2 linked regions of the Schizosaccharomyces pombe genome follow. The protein of the gene in region 1 interacts with the protein of each later gene in a pairwise test. Each region holds a gene or a part of one and is shown on either strand. Other genes may lie near its edges. The genes, in order: gir2 and gtp1.

Region 1 (3,932 bases):
GTTAAGTTGTGCAAATGTTAGTTAGCGAATACGCAGTTTGTTTTAAAAGTAGATACCCGCTAAGGAGTGTGTAACAACTCAACTGCCGAATGAACTAGCCCTGAAAATGGATGGCGCTTAAGCGTACTACCCATACCTCACCGTCTGGGTTAGCTTTGAGAAGCTCAGACGAGTAGGCAGGCGTGGAGCATTTTTTTGTATGTAAGAGGCAAAGAAACTTTGTTGAAACAAGTAACGTATTAATACTCTTTGAATTAGTTTGGCTTTATTCAAAAATAGCGGTGAATTAAATAACAATAAATTATTGATGTATTGAATTTAATTAAGCACTGATAAAATGTTATAAAAGCGTGTTTGTCAATTGTTACCGATTCAGTACAGTGTAAGGACAATATAGGCATATTTGCCATTAGCCTTGCTTTTTAGCTTTACACAACGAAAATAATATAAATATTAAAACATATGAATTGTTAATACCGTTATGCAGAATGCAAGACGGCATCGATTGAAAATCATTGTAAGAAAGCCATGGAAAACAAAATCAGGCAGTATACAAAAAAGATATTTAATACCCAACCCTGATTTCAAGTAAACTTCTATATTTCCCAATTTTATTTATATTTATTTAAAGGTTCCTGCCTACCTTGGATGAAACAACAATAAAGTAACGGGATGAACTAAACCCAACTTTAAGCCTCTCCCTCAACATCGTCCAACTTGACCAAATTATTTTCAAACAATTCTCTTCCTGTCATTCTTTTCTCCAATATAGCCTTCCGTGCATTACTCGAAGATGCAGCACTCAAAGCCTCCTTTAGTTTTGACTCTTGCTCTAATTTTAGTTGCTCATTCCGCCAAGCATCAAATCCTTTTTTCCATTCCGTAAATGATTCAACCGTTACTGGCGTTCCATGGAATTTTTTATTTTCCTGTTCTGCTTCCTTTCGATGTCTTTCCTCTATAGCTTGTGTTTCGCGCTGAGATTGCTCGATAAGAATGGCGTTAGTCTCCTCCTTAGCAACAGAACATAATGAAAATATCATTGCCATTCCTAAGCATTCCTCTGCCTATATATGAATGATTAGTTATATGATGGAAATTATAAATATGCATCAATGCTTAATAAAACAGTGAAAGAGCTTTCCTAGTGGACAAAAGCAATCCTCAGCTACTTCTATTCTTGTTCCCTTTTCGATTGTATCTTAACTGGTTCATACATTTTGAGCGACAACTTGTTTTAGTCTCTCTATTTCCTCTTCACCAAGCCAAGGATGAGGTTCAGAGAATGTAATTTTAACGTCGGGCACTTCATCTGGATAAGCTTCACTGAGCTGACACGTGAAAATTAAGGAGGCTAATTGATCGTATAAGTTAGAGAGTCGACCATAACCAAATACTGTTGTAAATTAAAAAAAAAAGGGCTTACGTGGATTATCGCAATTCGATTCTTCACGATCAATAGGTTGAGTAATCTCAAATGTACTGTCGTTTATACCTAACTAATGTTAATCAATAAATTTTCCAATTGATGGTCTATTAAATTTGCAGAGCAAATATTTGAATCAATAAAATATTATGCACATTTATGAAATCTCACTCTTTCCGAAAAAATTTATAAACAAATAACAATATTTGACTTACATTTAAACTCTTCTGGATATATTGATTCCAGGATTTCCCGTTCTTCTTCGATTGCAGAAGTCATTTGCGTGAAGGTGGAATGCAAATGGGCTATGGCAGGTGTAGAAACTCGAGATCAAGGTGTAGTAATCACCTGAAACAAAAAGCAGCTATAATGTACGTTAAATTTTCGCTCTTAAGAAGAAATATATTTATAAAGCTATTTATTTGGTAGCTAAATAGTCAGACTGGTACAAGCGTTGACACTATTGGAAAAGTTAAGTAAACAATCCTTGATCCATCTCTGAAGAGAATGATTAGTAATGAAGGATTCAGTGCCTTTAAGAAAAAAAAACCCCCCAATTGTCTTTTCAAGCACATTTATATTGTTATGTATGGCATGTAAATATAATGCAGCATGTGTAAAAGAATATTGGACAGTTGAAAGGACCATGCTTATTTTTAAAAAAGGAAAAAGAAAATAAAGCAGATGAATGAAATTGTAATACCAATCTTTTGATTTGTGGGTCTTTTCCCCTTTATTTCAGCTCGAGGTTCTCTTTCTGAAAATCAATAAATATAGCACGAATTGTTTAATTATTTTCTTGTTGCATAGCTTCGGTTAAAATAAATATATAAAACAGCCCTAGTATTTCCCAAATGTGTTTACTAGTCTTTTCATATTTTCACCGGCCTGTTGGTTTTAACTGATCAAAAGTCATCAAGCCACCTGTTTTTCACTGCAAATATCAAATTCATTTCAATACAATAGAAAAAATGATGTGAATTAGTTTGCATAGAAAAAAACCTGAGACTAGAACTGGTAAAAATTTCTGTGCATTCACAATTGTGGGGAACTGAAAAAATAGAGAATCCAAAATGGGGAGAATCCGATATAGACTATGTTAAATCTAATAAATTTATACTCCAACCCATTCACTCTAAACTCAAGCTTTCTTGTAAAAAACATCAATACTGTTTTCTTAAAATTCCATCTCTATTACTCACTAAAAGAGTATATAAAATATTAAAGAAGCAATTGTTCAAAAAGTGGTCGCATGATGTAGTCGGTTATCATGTCGATCTAATAAGTCGAATGTCGCCAGTTCGAACCTGGCTGTGACCATATTTTTGCTTCTCAAAATTAACAATATTGTGAGCTTGCACTGAAATGCTGTATCTTACATACCGTTATTTTTGTAAATAGTGTATCGTTAAAACAATACCTTCTAATAGTGGATAGCGCACTCAACGGTTCTGATGCTAAAAAATGTCACATTTCCTCTATGCAAAAAGGTTGGATGTCTTACCTAAATCTTAGGTGTGTGTTTTTCTTGTGCTAAAATTATGGAAATGTCACTGTTTGTGATGCTGGATTCCGACTGATTCACTCATTTGATGAAAAAAAATGAGGCATTTTTCTTCTACCTCCATCTGCTACTTGGATGTTACTTTGTTGGAAGAAAAAATCAATCGAGGTATTATTGCGCTGTAAAAGAGCTGATTTTAGGGACAGAAATAATCGCTCATTTCGTAGGTTATGGTATATATAAGGAAGGTGTGATAGAGACATTCCTGGACGCTTAACCTTGAGACGATTGTTTGACTGAAAGGCTTTGGTAGAACATTGGGTTGGTTAGTTTAATCGTTTAAATTCAGTTTATTTACTTGTAATTTTTCATATTGGTCGAAAAATTGGTTTTTTTTAGCAAAATATAGAAACAGAATATTTTCTTTGAAATCTGTATAAATTCAATTTGCTCTTCAATTCGTTGAGATTCTGCCCATTGATTGCCGAAATTTCGTTCATTTTATAATTGTGTTTTCTTTCTTTTCTTGTCTCTCATTTTCTTTTTCTTCCTTTTGATATTCATTTCTCCATTGTGTTTCGTAGGGTTAATTTTCATCTGCATATATTCTGTTTTCTTGTTTTTTAAGAACAAAAATTTTTCATCTAAATATATAATTGTCAAAGTTAGTAAGATACTGGTCTTCCCTAATCTTCAAGTTTTCTTTTAACTCTTTCGTCCTTTTTTTCTAAAACTCATTTACTACTCTTCTGGTTTTTTATTTTTCCCTAGAAGTCATGTCTTTCTTCTCCGCTGCAAAGCAAAGTCTGGGTAATTCCCTCATTAAGTTAGGAACATCTATGGCTCAAAATTCCCAAGGCCCTGTAGATGACTCTAGCTTGTCTCAATTGGAGAATTTGCTCCCACCTTTGCAAATTTTGACTGCTAGAGCCGCTATGGCTGCTATGAACATGTCGAATGATACATCCATGTCTGGAATGAACATGACCAACAGTACGACAC
Region 2 (3,932 bases), on another chromosome or scaffold:
TTGTGCCATACGTTGAAAACCACCGAATTGGGAAATATTGTTAAAGTTGGGTTGTTTGGACATAATTTTGTTAAATTCGTTTAAATTATTTATATTTTTAATTATATTTTTACATGCAGAACAATTCAGAGATCCGATAGAATGTCAGGTAAGGAATTCCTATGTAAACAAAGCTAATCTCAAAATTTAGAAACTTTGAACACTCCGCCAACATATGCATGGGTTTTGAAAGCATTTTCTAGTAAATTAGCAGGAACTGTGACGAAGCCTGTTACAAAAATGTCCTCTTACATTGAGGATGCAGAATCTGATGCAGAACTTCCGCAAGACGCAAAAGAAGACCTGCGCCCAACTGAGACATTAACTCCGTTAAAAAGTAAAGCAGCACAAAATGGGATTTTGAAAACTCCAGGTACTTTACAAATAAAGAAGACCGTCAATTTCAAAGATATTTCAAAAGATGCTGCGACGTGGAATCGTCCAACGAAAAATAATTTCTTATTTACGAGATTAGATGATGAGAATCCTTTAATGGGTCATGAAGAATTCAAATCCCCTTTGTTACAGAGTACTCCAAAACCGAATATTAATAATCCGGATAATGAAAACAAAAGTAAGCATGACGAGTTTGATAATCGCTATAATATTAATATCAATGAATCCTATAAAAATGAGACAAAAAGCAATCAGAGATTAGGCGAAGATGTCCCTTCAAAGAAAAAATATCCTCACTCGATGGATGCCGAGATCTCTAAATTCAAATGGGATAGTAACAATAATAATGACTGGTCAAGTTTAATGAAGGATTGCTTTCGAGATGTTGTGAACAATAATCGAAAAATGAAGGAAATTATTAAAGACGTTATGATTGACACATCCCAAGCTTTTCCCTCTGAGAGCTTGGATGAACCTGACTATACGATAAACCTTGATGCGCCTCGTTCCTCTTCAGGAAAATACTGGAAGCAAAAGTTTAGTATGCTAGATTCTGCTCATTCGGATCTTGAGTTAGAATTAACCTCTATCCGTGAGCGTTTGGAATCCTTAATTTTAGAGAAACAAGAGGAAATCAATTTTTGGAAACAACGTTGTCGAGCTTTAGAAACGGAGAAAATCCATAATCATCAAGGACAACAGTCAAAATACAAAGGCAAGGAATTCGTTGGAAATAGATTTAGCCAAATGAGGGAGCTTTATACTGCTAAGCCAAGTCCGATTACTACTAAAGTTGTTTCTAGGCCATCCCAATCTGATGTGCGTGAGCCTCAAGAACAGGTTCCTTCCAAGAATTTACATCGGGGAGCAGATATGTCGCATTTGGCAGCTCAAATGCTGACTCATTCATCAAAAAAGTCCCATACGACAAACCTAATACCTTCTGAAGGAATAATTTCATCAACTCCTATTTCCGCAGCTTCCAAAGTACGTATGAATTTAATGCAGTCTAATCAAACTCCTACACCTGCTCCATTTTCAATAGCAGCAAAGAAGTCCCACTTACCGTCGAAACTTAGTTTCCCACAAGATGGTGGTAGCTTATCTTCTGCTACTACCTTGCAGCAATTGCCAAAAGCAAGAGTGACGCCAAACGTGTTATCTTCTTTAAGCTCAAACCTTGGAAAAACAAATCCAACGTCAGTATACCAATCAAAAGCGAACGTAACTACAAGTGCTGATGTTGAAAAACCACAAGTTAAAGTTGCAACTAGTTCTCGCGTGGATTATGATTTGAAGAGTCCAAATCAACGTACTGCGAATGCAAAGAAAAGATTAGAGGAAAGGAGAAGACGAAGGAAGTTGAAACTTCAAGAACTTCAGTTGAATTCCTGAAGGTATAATTTTACTAGATCGATATTGTATAATTAGAATGCATATCCTTTTTAAGTAAAGGACTGGAGCCTTAGTTTCATTTATTTTTGTTGAGGAAAGGTGTGTGCATCAAGTATTGAAAATTAACTATATTCCTTTCGAGAATTAAATAAAATATAAGTCCATTATTAATATTAACTCAAATTACTAATTTTTAGTATAAATGATGGATTCATTATAAGAGGCTTGTAAAAGGCCGTATTAGTCGTGGATATTGTAATTTAATTTCATCTTTTCATGCAGTATTTTACTAGAAAAACATTCAGCTGTACATTTAGATCGTAAGCTGACTGGAAGAATTCCATCTCCTCAACCTCCATTTGAATCTTGTCTTAGGCCATACGCAGTAAAAACTTGAAAGTAGCAACAATTTCATATTACCACACTACGATAGGTTATTAAATGGGAAAATGGGTGTCTTAGAAAAAGTAAATAAAAATATCTGCCGTTATATACTAATCTAAATTGGCTAGATTCAAGAGATTGAAGCTGAAATGCGCCGGACGCAAAAAAATAAGGCGACGGAGTACCATCTTGGTTTGGTAAGTTTTTTTAATTCATTTCTAACTGGAATGCCTTTTATTTTATAGCAAATATTACAATGTTGTTCCAACTTATAAAGAATCAACTCTAAATTAAACTAACCTAGTCCTTTAGTTGAAAGGAAAACTCGCCAAGCTGAGGGCTCAATTACTTGAACCTACTTCAAAATCGGGGCCAAAGGGGGAGGGCTTCGATGTTTTGAAAAGTGGTGATGCTAGAGTTGCATTTATTGGATTTCCATCTGTTGGTAAATCTACTTTGCTGTCTGCTATTACGAAAACGAAGGTTTGCTATTTCTTTTTAAATACTTTATTTTTTTACTAACAATGGTAATATAGTCGGCGACTGCATCTTATGAATTCACTACTTTAACGGCTATTCCAGGTGTACTCGAATACGATGGAGCAGAAATTCAAATGTTAGATCTTCCAGGTATCATTGAAGGTGCCTCTCAGGGAAGAGGTGGCCGCCAAGCAGTATCTGCTGCACGCACAGCTGATTTAATTTTAATGGTTTTGGATGCTACAAAAGCTGCCGATCAGCGAGAAAAAATTGAGTATGAACTTGAACAAGTTGGCATTCGTTTAAATCGACAACCACCAAATGTGACCCTTACCATAAAAAAAAATGGGGGCATTAAATTTAATCACACTGTTCCTCTAACTCATATGGATTACAAAATGGCATACAATATTTTACATGAATACAGAATCCACAATGCAGATATCCTAATTCGTGAAGACATCACCGTGGATGACTTTATTGATCTTGTTATGGGAAATCGGCGATATATCAATTGTCTGTATTGTTATAGTAAGATTGATGCCGTTTCGTTGGAAGAAGTGGACCGACTTGCTCGTTTACCAAAGTCTGTCGTTATTAGCTGTAATATGAAGCTGAATCTTGACTTTCTTAAAGAGCGCATTTGGGAAGAACTCAATCTCTACAGAATATATACTAAACGGAAAGGAGAAATGCCCGACTTCTCTGAAGCCCTGATTGTGCGCAAGGGATCAACAATCGAGCAAGTCTGTAATAGGATTCACAGAACATTGGCTGAACAATTAAAATATGCACTTGTATGGGGTACTTCTGCAAAACATAGTCCCCAGGTTGTTGGTTTAAATCATAGAGTTGAAGAAGGAGATGTGGTTACTATTGTGACAAAATAAATAGGAAAAATTTTTCGTTTATTAAATTTACAGGAATGCTAATATTTTTGTTCAGTACATACCTAGTTTTATAAAGCAAAACAAAGTTGAACTGCTTCATTAAAAAACTATATACATAAAAAGATTGTAAATATTCCTTTCCTATAATAGTGAACATAAATTAATTGATGTTATCGGTGTTTTGCATTGAATCGGCTTCAATCCAATAACAACCCTCAAAATAAAGTATGTTCGATACTTTGAATAGGAAGTCTCCATGCTTTTTAAATCCAACTGCTTCTGGAACTATATTTTAAAGTAAATATTTCTTCATCCTTGTTAGCATGACCCATCATATTAGGCATTTTA

Evidence for each region.
Region 2: the proteins of gir2 (region 1) and gtp1 interact in a two-hybrid assay, tested with the Schizosaccharomyces pombe proteins (one large-scale study listed by BioGRID).

What each region holds. Positions count from the first base shown.
Region 1 is NC_003421.2:814,753-818,684, forward strand, and holds gir2 (RWD domain-containing protein), read right to left. Parts: upstream 1,734-3,932; 5' UTR 1,706-1,733; coding exon 1,642-1,705; exon of another isoform or gene 1,496-1,641; coding exon 1,427-1,495; exon of another isoform or gene 1,355-1,426; coding exon 1,218-1,354; exon of another isoform or gene 1,068-1,217; coding exon 690-1,067; 3' UTR 335-689; downstream 1-334. Other genes in the region: Cu(2+) transporter complex subunit Ctr4, read left to right, coding at 3,707-3,932.
Region 2 is NC_003423.3:541,142-545,073, forward strand, and holds gtp1 (GTP-binding protein Gtp1), read left to right. Parts: upstream 1-2,203; 5' UTR 2,204-2,279; coding exon 2,280-2,297; intron 2,298-2,342; coding exon 2,343-2,411; intron 2,412-2,526; coding exon 2,527-2,697; intron 2,698-2,750; coding exon 2,751-3,584; 3' UTR 3,585-3,695; downstream 3,696-3,932. Other genes in the region: protein Cut12, read left to right, coding at 142-148, 191-1,830; translocon alpha subunit Sec61, read right to left, coding at 3,930-3,932.